Drosophila melanogaster: one gene and its partner. The protein of the gene in region 1 interacts with the protein of each later gene in a pairwise test. Each region holds a gene or a part of one and is shown in the gene's direction. Other genes may lie near its edges.

Region 1 (7,813 bases):
CGCGAATCATCCTTTCCTGATCTATGAGTGCTTGCACTTCTTTGATTCGCTGAAGATACATATCCTTCTGTTCCATGTAAAACTTTAGGTCGTCCTTAAGCTTTTGCAGTGCAAGCCTTGATACGGTGCACATGACGTCGGCGTGTTCCAAATCGGTATCAAGTCGGTCCTGCCAATTTCGAATGCTTTCCCTAAGCTTTCCCACCTCCAACTCATACATGAGTCCGGAGGAATACTGCACCTTTTCATCCTGCACTGCTTGTACCTCCAGGTCTTGTAGCTCTCTTTTTATCTCCACATTTCTTTCGTTCATCCGGGTCAGACGCTGATCCGTACAGCTTTTAAACCAGTTGATTTGATATCGCGTTTCAATCGGGTTCAGGGCTGCGGAAGAAGATGAGTTTTCCAAATATGGCTCATAGTAACCCCACTCACCTGATTTCCTTTCGAACACTATCATTGCCGATGAGTTACGACGTAACGACGTCAAGGAGCCACTTTGCTCATTGAGCAAAGCGACTGACGCACTGGATGCCAGATTTTCGATATTATCATTAAGGCTCTTTACCCAAGGGGCATTCATGTGGTATTGGGCATTTCTGCAATAGAACACATATGTCAATGTCGCAGTTAAAGCTAAACAAAGCAATCGAAACACCCTTACTTTAACAAATGTAGGCTATTTTCGCAGAGGTCTACGTCGTCTCGAAAATCTCTTCTAATTTCGTGTATAAGGTGTTCGATCTCGCTGAGATCCTTGCAGAACTTAACGCAATCAAGATCCTTGACACTTCGCTCCCGATTGAGGACATCAAGGTAGATCTGCTTTACGTCCAGTCGCAATAAGAAGTCATCCAACGACCAGCTGAACAGATTGTTTGGGGTCTCCTCCAGATCGCCTGGCCAGGGCATCGAGAAGAGTCGCAACTGTCTGAGCAGACGAACCGATAGGAATTCGATGGCCGCCTTTTGGACTTGGCGAATGAGATCTGCTATTATGGTGGACCTCAATCTTATGCTGGCTATGACTTCCTCCATTGTTCTCCTTACGGACGTTCTTTGGCGCTTTTGGGCCATCTGCAGCACCACCATAGCCTCGGCTTCCTTTACATCTGTGTCTTGGAGCTCCACTGGCCGCTTGACTATCGAAACGTCCCGCACTGTAGATCTAACCACTAATGAGGCCACTCGGGACTCGTGCTCCCTTATCAGATCCTTGAGAAACTCATCTCGGCACATTGATGGATCTTCTTGCTCCGGCAAGGGAAAGGGAATTTCCCAAGAGTCAAATTGCTCTCCTTCGAGACTAACCATGCCAGGTACCACGGCTTTCAAATGCTTCGTCTTTTTATGGGGCATTTTTAGAGTTTTTTGTTTATTTTTGTTTTATGTTTTCTATTCTGAAGTATTTTTTGTGAGTATCATTTCTAGGAATAATGTTAAAAGGGGCTGGTACACCATCATATGATGGTGAAATCTAAATACAACGCATTGAATTCCACACCACGGAGTTATTATCGTTTATGGTGATAAATTTCAAATCCCCCGCCATTTAGTGTTGGCAAGCGTCGTTGCAAAGCGAACAAATAAACAGCTGATTAGGCAGTGGATAGAAGCAGCAGCTCTAGCCATTCGCATGTCAACGCGGCTGCACATTGCTTTGAATTTTTGAATGTGTTCGTTCGTTTATTCTTTTTACTCATTGTTTTTCGAGTGTTGTTTATTGTTTTAATCAAAGTTAGTTGCTCCGCTTGTCAGTTTACATAAGCAATCTCACAGGTGGGACCGAATCTAATCGACTCTCCTCTGCTTGGCCAGTTTCCATCCGCGGCGCTCAGTTGCTAAGTTTAGTTGGCCACTTTTCCGATTCGGAGACTCAGGTGCATTTTCCGTGACCAGGTAAATAAGCTTGTCTTAGTCTATTGTTTCTGTATTCGGCGGCTTGTTTATGTGCTTGATTAGCAGTCAGCTGTGCATATTTGCGTCTCTCACATGCACACTATATTTGGCTTTTAATTACCCACAGCTGCGCGTGTGTGTGTGTGCGCCAGAGTGGGAGCTTGTGGCCGTGTGTGTGTGAGCCCAGAAACCGTAGTTACGTACATCACTGCGTATGAGCAATAAACTGTAATTGAGTCAAGGTCAGTAATTGGCACTTGATTGACAAACTTCGATAGCTGCTCGCTTATGTACATTTAAATTCAATTATTATCGCCTCTCTCCGCCCAAATATTTACATGCATATATTCCATTTGCCCTGCTTATCATCGATCGGTACGGGTTTGAAAACCTTTCCACTGACGTTTGAATTTATGACCTGAAAAAGGTATTTGCTCTTCCCTCTTTCTGTCCATATTAGTGCCTCTAATCCCTGCGATCTGTTCGGTTTATGCGCCATATAATTGATGTGGTTTCCACTGGAACGTTAACCAAAGCCGATCACGACTGACAGTTTGCTTTGCCACGGTTGGGAAACCACTGTCCCCCTGATAAGCACCGAAAAATGTCGAAAATAAGGCTCGTCCGACTTTAAGCAATTAAGCAAATAGCCAAGTTAACACTGCAAGTGGCGACAGAAGCTCACACACTCACCCACATGGAAAAAAACTCACGGGACTGAATCTTACGCAGATACAGTCGAAACCCGCTAATCAGATACCGGCGAGGTGTAATTCTAAGCAGATCAAGGCGACCCTGGCATAACAAAAATACCAACTCTAGAGAAATTTTTCACTCAAACCTTAAATTTCCAACATAATTAACCAAAACGTTATGTTTGAAATGAAAAAAACATGTTTAATGCTTAAACTGGCTAGCCTTTAAACACAATTTCTGTTTTTGTAATCATTAATTAGCTCTAAATTGGCTACAGTCAAAGGTTCGCCATAAGAATCTCAGAAAAAATAACTAAAAATCATTGTAAAGGCTTTAAAAAGAAAAGCTAGTAAGATGTTATATAAAAATTAAAGCTTTACTTTAAAAACGTTGCTCTTTAAAACTCGACCTTATTGTAAATTGTTATTAACTTAAGATTGTGGATTATATAGACGAGGCTTGACTGTACTTGAACGCACACAAACTGGCGAAAAAGATATGGAGAAGACGTCGACGAACTCGTTTCAATTGAGACGCAAACTGAAACACAATTCATTTCGCTGGAGAACGCGCAACCGAAAACATTTTCCACCTCTGCTCTTATTCGTCTTCTAACTGATATTTTTTTACTCACGGTTTCTTGGCCTTTGGTCTTTTGCGTCTCCGATAGAGCCCCAAAAATAAAATGGAGCAGTGGAACAATGTGGAGCTGACGAACATGTCCAAAAAGTCGTATACCCTGAATCATGCCTACGATGCCGCCGAGAAGTTGAACAAGGAAAACACGGCAAAGTCCTCGAATGGCAATGGCACCAGTGCCGATGAATCAACAGCTGCAGATGGCGATCTCCTCAAGCCAGGATCGGACGTGCGCCCAAAAGTGGAGCCCGAGGACGTGGAGAGCCTGCTGCGTCGCCTCTACGGGATCACGATAAGCGAGGTTAAGGAAATCGTCGCCTACGACGATCGCAACTTCTTTGTCAAGGAGGATAGGTAAGCAAAGCGATGACAGTATCTCGCTGACACCCTTTCCCAATCCCGCACCACATCCGGAGGTTTATCTCGTGTATGGGAGTTCAGCGTAAGCATCTCATACAGCTGCAGTCAGATTATTAGCACAGGCAATTTCAAACATCATAATATATCATTTAGATCAGGATTAGTCTTCTATATAGTAAACACAAGAATTCGTTGCTTGAAATAATATCTCCTTTAAAGCATCAACACAACATATTTTCTGTGCTTTGACATGACTGCAATTTTAGCTGCTGTTCGTAGTACGACTGTGCAACACGAAAACAAATAATAATGAGCCGGAGAAATGCGGCGGTATGTAGCATCTATTTATACCCAGTTTAATTAAAGTTGTTAGTCGCGGCAGTTGAGTGTGACGCAGTCGACAGTCACCTTGCCAGCATCGCAATTGCTATCTTGATGGATTCATGGCATTCAGCACTGATGTAGTCAGTTCAGCTCTTCACTTTAATAAATTAGATAAATCTAGAGAACAAAAAGCTTACAATCTAGAAGAGCCATCTATTTGAGGACAGGTTTCGTCTGGAAGCCAAACATGCTGAGCTTGGTTTGATTCTGGCTCACGGCACCCAGTTTTCCATTCGTCCTAGATTTAGGAGTGCCCTTCTTGGCAGTGGAGGGTTTACTCAGCCCCACTCTTCGTTTGCTGGTTGGCAAAAAGTTCTGGCGTTGCTGGCTGGAGGATGAGGTAGATGATGCTCTCTGATCCGAGCTACAGCTGTCGTCCGATAGCAGAATGATGGCATCATTATTGTTCCTGTCGGATTCCTGAGTGGGTTCCGGAGAGTTTTCCAGAAGTAAATCCAGTGACTTAATGCGAATAGTTGTTGAATTGGTATTGCCTTCAGTTGGTATTTGGGGTTGAGAGTTGTTGAGATCTTCTTGGGATTCTAAAGGCGAAGGAACACCTTTATCTTGTGATTCCAAAAGAGAAGAGGCTGTGGTATCTGTATCTGTTTCACCGTCACTGATTTGTGAACTACAACGTTGTCTTATTGGGTTCTTCCCTGGAATGTCTTTACATACTAGTCTTAGTTTCTTATGGCCTGAGTGAGAGCTCAGCTTCTGCTCATCCATATCGTCATTTTCCGTATCTCTTAAGTGCTCCCTTTGAAGCCTTGTCTGTTCATCCTGCGTGGCGAAGAAGCGACTTCGGATCTGAACTTGTTCCTTGGCGAATATGCTTCTTTTAAGCGAATCAACCTTTTTTACACCAGCTTCTCCATCCAACGGACTTGCCTTTTTCGGACTAAGCAAACGCAGCAAAGAGGCATTCTCACAAACTACTGGGGATCGCTGATTAGCTTCTTCTCCAGTCCTTTCCTTGGCAAATGGATTGTGCCGACTTTTGTGCACCGGCGACGGAGGAGGTGTACGTTCTTGATCTACAGAATCTTCCCTGCTCGGACTTCTCCTCCTTTTGGCTTTGAAACTGTACATGTTAAACAACTCGGCCTCCGTTTGTTTAGCCTGTTCCAGTCGCTGATTAGCTTCGATTTCCTCGTTTAGAGTTTTGCCCACAAAATCCACTTTTTTGAAGAACAAGGCACACGGATTTTCTTTCTTCGGCGTGTGAGTGTTTTCGCTTTGAAAATTCGTTTGCCAAATACTTTTGTGCTTGGATCGTTTCACGTTCTTCGGCGTTGGCCATGCCTTTTCCGGTGTCCAAGAGTCCAGTCGCTTCATAGAGAAGGGGTTCAAGTTGCCTAGGGCCAAGTGCAAAGCCTGCTCGCTATCCTCCAGCAAGGTGCCAGCATTGCTGCAGTAGCGCTCATCAGTTTCATAATCTTCGAGGGCACACAACCGCTGCATGCGACGCTCTAGCGGGTTGTAGATAAACATGTGCCTGAAGGTGGCCTCCGCTTTCATGAAGTTTTCAATATAGTCGTCATCTACCTGGATTAAAGGATTATTAGTCTTACAATTCAGACCTAACCGCAAGTTAACTTACCTCAAGATTGCGCATATTGAGGTAACTTGGAATCTTTTTTAATGCTATTCGCATGTCTTCCTGTTCCGTTTTTAGTATAAATTTGCACGCCTTGGCCAGTCCGATGCCAGGCAGTGAGTCCAGGTAATCACAGCCGGATAGGATGCACATGCGCCGGAACTTGTCAAAGTGGTACTTCTCCTCCGTGCAGCCCATGGCCAGGTGAAGTTTTTCCGCCTCCACCAGCAGGCCGCTGCCGTTGAGGTCCAGCTTGAATATGATGTTCTTGGCTCCAAAAAGCGTTAAGTCCGAGTCCTCGGTGATGATGTACTGGGCCACATCTGCTCTATTCAGCCAGGCCATTTGGGCATCGGCCTCGTAGGGCGCCACAATGCAGTCAACATTCCGGCTCCGGCATTCCCGGATCAACCGCAACGCCATGTCGTGGGTGACATCCACGCAGCGTCGCATATGGGATCGGGCCTCCTCGATGCGACCCAATCGAAGGAGTTCCGCCGCCCGCTCTTTGCTCTGCTTCCTGGAGTCCCTTCTCCGCTTTTCGGTCAAAGCCTTGGCCGGCAAGTGCTGCCCATCGAAGACCAGAATGGGCTTGATGTCGTAGGACAGCAGCATGTTCACATACTTCAAGCAGTATTGTATATAAACATCCGTATCCTCGCCGCGGGCCAACTTCTCCGCACAGCCGAAGACTCCCTTGTGTAGCCAGCAATATGTGTCCACGGCCACTGTGCTGCCGCGAATGTCTTTTAGATGCAGCTGCGAGGAGGCCTTGCCCACGAAGGGAATTAGGCCGGTAATGCCCATGGTTAGGACCAACAACAATAACACATATAAAAACGAAATAAACAATTAATAAAATTGCGGATCTTAGCGCCAAAATTGCCAATGCATCAGTGTGACCAAAGTGCGATGCTATAAAAAAAATTCGAATTGCCATTCACATGGAACGCATATGTCTATCATTATCCAACACTTGGATTTTAAAAATAATTCAATATTTCTAACAGATATTATTTTGTATTTTTATGAATGTGGCGCTTTGTTATGCCTCATTTTTTATTTACTCCTTAAGATAAGTAATTTCCTATTGAATACATTTCCGTATTGCAGTAATGTTAAGAACCCCCTCATTGTAACCCACTGTCCACACGGATACGTCCTGAAAATCCTCAACTCACTGGACTCTAAGAAAGAGGACTTCGTGGATGCCCAAAACCAGATGCTGCTTTACTTGGGTAAGAATTGCTAGCCAAATCATCAGCAAATTGACAATGCAATCGTATTCCCTAGGAAAACACAGTGTGAAATGCCCACGACCAGTAGCCAATGCAACAGGAAAGTATTACTCTGTGGAACGGCTGAATGGGAATTCGAATGTGGTGCGACTGCTGGAATTTATACCGGGAGAAATCTTCCACCAGGTGCCGGTGACGAAGCACCTGCTCTACCGCAGCGGCGAATACTTGGCCAGGTTGGATCGAGCCCTCAAGAACTTCACCCACCAGGCATATGAAAGCCACAAGACCTTGTGGATGCTTCAGAGTGTTCCCGAGCTTAGGCAATTCCTGTACGTGGTGAAGGATCAGGAGCAGCGGCTTATCTGCGACGAGGTGATCGATGCCTTTGAAGCCAAGGTTCTGAGCCAACTGCCATCCATGGAGCACCAGATCATCCATGGGGACTTCAACGAACAAAATATAGTGGTGGAGCAGGTGCCCAATCAAACTGAATATACCATCAAGGGAGTTATTGATTTCGGTGATACGAGCAAATCGCCACTGATCTTCGAAATTGGAATTGCCCTCACTTATATGATACTGCAGGCCAACGATTTGGCCAATGGTGGCATATTTCTGTCCGGTTATACCAGTCTGAACCCAATTGAGAATTCCGAGCTGGCCCTTCTCAAGTACTGTGTTACTGCCCGATTTGTTCAGAGCCTGGTAATGGGACTCTACACCCACACGCTGCATCCCACAAATGAGTACCTCCTGGTGACCCAGGAAAAGGGATGGAAGCTCCTTCAGAAGCTGTGGCGCGAGAGCTTTGACGATATTGATGAGCTGTGGGCAAGCACTGGACACCAGTACTTGACGCAGAGCAATAAATAATATAAAATTCCGTTAGGCTTTTCCGTTTTTTAAAGGTATTTTAACTGATTTTCAATCCAGCTATTCTGGTTGTTGAAGATTTTGTATGTTATGTTTTCCATTAGGTAACGAGGGTCAGATA
Region 2 (5,116 bases), on another chromosome or scaffold:
ATATGTGAAAATGTGACCCAATTGAAAACGCGAAAACGGGTCGCAACTACACATAAACTGCATATATTTATACACACGCATATACATATATATATGTATATGTGTGCGGGCAAGCATAAGTACATCTGTCAATACAAGGAGGTAATCCCCCAAAGTCGATCCGATATACTGGGTGCGGTAGAATTGTTTAGCAAACACACACATAAATTAATAATCAACGTTTTTGGGCCTCGGGCAGCAAAAGTATCGGTTATGCGAGGGTGTGCGTGTGTTTGTTTTACTTCACAGCCAGAGCTGCAAAAAAAAAAAGAAAAGTTCAATCGCTGAAACTTCAGGCAAAACAGCCCGAAACGTTTCGCCTGCTGCTGCTTCTGCTGCTCTTTTCGTGGCTGTGGCACAGCTGATTGTCCAAGGCCTCACGCCGAACATGTTGGCTTGTTTGGTTTGAAGCTAAGGACCTGCACTCCTGGACACCTCCCCACCGAAAAAAAAACCAGAGTACTCTGGGCCTAGCTTCACGGTTTTACGGCTCTGAAGCACGCACCCAAAAGGGCAGCGCAGCGTGCACACGTAATAATAAAGCCATAATCAAAGGTAACCCGGGACAACGGAGCGTATGCGTGTTCCGCCAAGTCGGTGGCCTGACCAGCAGCTAATTGCTACGACACGCGGAATGCCAAGGATTCAGGAATTCATGGTCCAAATATTCGACACTTTTTGCACTCTGCGAAACTCTTGCAGGCAATATAGAACATTCTGGGTTGATAGATCTATTTTTGTATAGATTTTGGAATGTATAATTTACCTTAATTATAATTATTTTATGTTGCTTCAGTAAAATAATTCCGTTTTTATATATTTATTTTTATTATATTTTCAAAAACTCATTGTTGATGACACGTAAGCTTAGGCCTAAACATTTTATTATGATTTTATTCCTTTCATAATTTCATTAAAAATATATAATAATTTTTTTAATTAACAATAATAACAATTGAATTCACTTTGACCATGAATCAGATCGCAGAAAACGTTTAAAGCGAAAGTGTTTCCCCTCGAATTCAGAATTTCTCAATCTCAGATGGCAATTTAGCTGGCACCATATGCACATATTTGGCGCTCAAATCGAACCCTCCCCCCCCCCCCTTCAAGAACTCTCAACCCCCCCTAGGCAAAACACCTATTTATGGAGCACAAGTGGTTATCCAAAATACATATTCCACCCTCCCATTCCTGAGGAGCAGTTGCGGCCACACTTCGGCACTCAGCACCAGGGAAAACCACAAACAACGTCTGCAGATGGGGCACACTTCAATGTGTTTTCACTCATATCTAGTTTTCCGGTAGCATATTTATTTTCCACTTTAATGGAAAACATATGCCGTGGCATCAGTTCGTAGAAAACGCACTTGGCCAAGGTATGCCCATGTATCGTTTCCATCTAGATATGCCTTCTATTACATTTTGCGGCAGCCTGATTACGCTTAATTGTTTCTAATTGCATGTGTAATTTAATTAAGGCAATTGCACAGTTCACCTTGAACTATCGGCTCATCGGTGGGCCAGTGTGCAAACGTAATTCGATATGCGATGATTGCAATTGCGTTGCTTTCGCCTTACTGCTGTCTGCTCAGTGGAAAAATAAAATGGCAATCGATAAAGGCCACGGAGCCGGCTTCCCGATTTGATTGCAGTTGTTTCGCAGTCCATTGCCATGGCCACGATTATGTTTAAAAATAAAAAAAAAAAAACGAAAAGTTCTCAGAAATCGCTTGATTACACTGGGCCAACTTGATTGGCGGCCATCCGATTTGGTAACAAGGGTAGACATCCCGTTATTGCCACAAATCAGGCAACATTTCAACCTTTTCAGACCCTTTGCTCTAAATTATTCATTCCATTCAATCAATCAACGCATTTAATTTAACGCCTCTAGAAATATTGATTGAGCTTTAAGTATAGTCAAGATATCTTGAAGATACATTTTGTTATTATTATAGCAAACTAATCTCTAGAAATCTCTAGAGTTCCTGGATTTTTATTTTATTTTGGTTCATAATTCATTTTTAAATCCTATCACTTTAAGCACGTTTCCCATTTAAGATCATAAATCACACTCAAGATCCCTCTTCTCTGAATGATTTCAGGAATTATGAAGCTCTCTGACACCATGGCCACGCCTATAGAAGAAAAACTCGACCAAAACCTGAAGGTAACGCAAAGATTCTTCATATTTATAAATGTATATCTATTAAATATTAAATTATTAATATTTTAGGTGCGAACTGGAATGGTGCACGTGAGCGATGGCAAGAGCAGACCAGAACCGCTTCGACTTAATCTTACCATGGAGTTGCTTTCGCTGCAGAAGCTGGAAGTGGTAACACCAAGTAGTTGTCACCCCAATGGACCACCCATGGAATCAAAGGTATATATATATTTTCCCCTATAACATTTAACTTATTTATGAAATAATTCATCTTTCAGGAACGTATGGTTCAAATTACGCGCCAAAAACAAGGCGGCCTAGGACTGAGCATAAAAGGTGGCGCCGAGCATAAACTACCCATTTTGATATCGCGTATCTATAAGGATCAGGCTGCGGACATAACGGGCCAACTATTTGTTGGCGATGCCATCATCAAGGTCAACGGAGAATACATCACGGCATGTCCTCACGATGATGCCGTCAATATATTGAGAAACGCTGGCGATATTGTTGTGCTCACTGTTAAGCATTATCGCGCAGCCACGCCTTTCCTTCAGAAACAACGTGAGTAGCAGTGGGCTAGCATAGCACGATAAATAAGGATTGAATAACCCTCCTCAACATCCCAGTGACCAAGGACACACCCGACTCGGACAACGATGTCACATGTGCCGAACTGAAGGCTGACGAGGGCTACAAGTCATCCGTCAATAGTGGAACCATCAGTCGCAGTTGTAGTCGCCCCATGTCAATTTGCTCGGAGCCCGAGAAGCGCTGGACCGACGTGGTTGCCGGTGAGCCTTATTTATAAATAGGTTAACAAATTGTTCATTGATTATGTCCTAAGATAACAGAAATGTATCTCAAATCTTACGTACAGAAATGCTAATCAATTCATATATTTACACCTTGCAGTACCTCTAATGATGGCATATGTGACGAGGTACATCTATGGCACCGACAAGCTGCGACAAAATGCCTTCGAAGTTCGCGGTCTGAATGGAATTTCCACAGGTGTCATACACTGTGACGAACTGGCCATACTTAGTCAGTGGCTGAAATTGATAACAGACAATGTTGTGGGCCTGACGCATTTACAGGTAGGAGAGTTAAAGGCATATATATTCATAATTTAATCAATTGTGTATCCAATAGATGAAGCTATATAATAGAAACTTTGCTGTGGGCGAGCGCATTGAGTACATGGGCTGGGTGAATGAAGGTGTCATTAACAACAATATATCGTGGCAGAGCTACAAGCCCAGGTTTCTACTGCTCAAAGGCACTGAAGTGATGCTCTTTGAAACGCCACCAGTGAGTAGCAATCAATTGCGATAAGTTTCGATTATCTTAACTAATTTTTTCTATTAAATTATTAGCTAAATGTGGCTGGCATTAGTAAGGCTTTGGTGGTCTACAAGGTCTACCAGACCATGTTCCGCATTGTCAAGGAATCGGAGACCGTGGATAGTCGTCAGCATTGTTTCCTGCTGCAAAGTTCGGGTCATGAACCGCGCTATTTGAGCGTGGAAACCCGTCAGGAGCTTTTGAGAATCGAAAACAGCTGGAATGCGGCCATTGTGACAAGTGTCATCAAACTGGGCGTAGGTTTACACTTATATCGCATACCTTCACTCTCTAATTATATGTTAATTTTCCTCAGCGTAAGACCTTTGCCGTGTCGCATCATGGAAAAAGTGGTGGACTCACGCTGGACTGGCAAGCTGGTTTTTCATTAACCGAAGGAGCCGAATCCGCCACAGTTTGGCAGTATAAATTCTCCCAGCTGAGGGGCTCCAGTGATGATGGTAAATCGAAGCTGAAGTTGCATTTCCAGGATCACGATAGCCGTGCAATAGAAACCAAGGTAAGCTAAAGATACAAGTATACCATAATTTCATAATATATAAAAAGTTTAATATCCTGCAGGAGCTGGAATGCCAAGTCCTGCAAAGTCTGCTGTTCTGCATGCACGCGTTTCTTACGGCCAAGGTGGCATCGGTGGATCCAGCATTTTTGAGCTCAATCCAGCAGACTTAAATCAAAAATATTATGAGGGACAAGAATTCGCATGGACTCACACTCAAAATGATATATAATGAATATTCGTAAAGTGCATAGCAAATAATTCGAATATGAATGTTGGACTATAGGTATCGCATACATGATTGTCCGCTTGGAGTTATTATAAACGAGTACGCGCATATACATATGTATGTTGATATCTGAATGATTGTAATTGTAATTGGATACTGATATGGGTATATTTATAGCGCTGATAAAACTGAAAGTGAAATCTCTTGGTGCATTATAGTAAATTTTAAGCATACATAAGGCAATTACTTTAGGCATTTTTCCTATTACGTAGACTTGGTACTTACAAATTGACAACAAATTTATATTGTTTATAATCGATCGTTTCCGAATGTAGCCTTTAAAGTTAAATTAACCCTTAACCCTACCTACCTAACTTACGGATTGTTAAAACCACATAGGTCTGCCGATTCTGAATGTCAGAGAAATCTAATCGCTTTTTGCTATTAGCCGAAAAGATTATAATGAGTGGCCTTAAAGGCTTTAACCCGTGCTGTATCCTCTAGACATATATTTCTTCGGCGGTTTAACGAAAATTGATTGAAATATAAAAACCGTGTTTTGTGTGCGCTCTAATGAAAATTTAATTTTCGAAAAACGAATGCTTTAAGATCGGATTAATTGTTATTTTCTACTGAAGTAATAGCTGATGTCATAATAGATATATATAAAAATACCTTATAAAATAATATATATATATATAACATCCACCGAACAAATCTCAATGCACAGACGTAACATGAACTAGATTTTATAACTGTTATACATTTACTCAGAGCCAGTTAAGTGATTTCATCAGACACTCACTTAGGT

The links.
Region 2: the proteins of CG31751 (region 1) and Syn2 interact in a two-hybrid assay, tested with the Drosophila melanogaster proteins (one large-scale study listed by BioGRID).

Annotation. Positions count from the first base shown.
Region 1 is NT_033779.5:18,675,574-18,683,386, forward strand, and holds the start of CG31751 (uncharacterized protein), read left to right. Parts: upstream 1-1,647; 5' UTR 1,648-1,899; intron 1,900-3,142; exon of another isoform or gene 3,143-3,265; 5' UTR 3,266-3,280; coding exon 3,281-3,588; intron 3,589-4,057; exon of another isoform or gene 4,058-4,131; coding exon of another isoform or gene 4,132-5,526; intron 5,527-5,581; coding exon of another isoform or gene 5,582-6,385; exon of another isoform or gene 6,386-6,502; intron 6,503-6,691; coding exon 6,692-6,816; intron 6,817-6,871; coding exon 6,872-7,692; 3' UTR 7,693-7,813. Other genes in the region: Mst36Fa (Male-specific transcript 36Fa), read right to left, coding at 1-384, 436-599, 665-1,359; tos (tosca), read right to left, coding at 4,132-5,526, 5,582-6,385.
Region 2 is NT_033778.4:16,552,481-16,557,596, forward strand, and holds Syn2 (Syntrophin-like 2), read left to right. Parts: upstream 1-2,106; 5' UTR 2,107-2,137; coding exon 2,138-2,212; intron 2,213-2,278; coding exon 2,279-2,428; intron 2,429-2,487; coding exon 2,488-2,773; intron 2,774-2,838; coding exon 2,839-3,003; intron 3,004-3,124; coding exon 3,125-3,309; intron 3,310-3,364; coding exon 3,365-3,523; intron 3,524-3,588; coding exon 3,589-3,813; intron 3,814-3,872; coding exon 3,873-4,076; intron 4,077-4,138; coding exon 4,139-4,249; 3' UTR 4,250-4,546; downstream 4,547-5,116.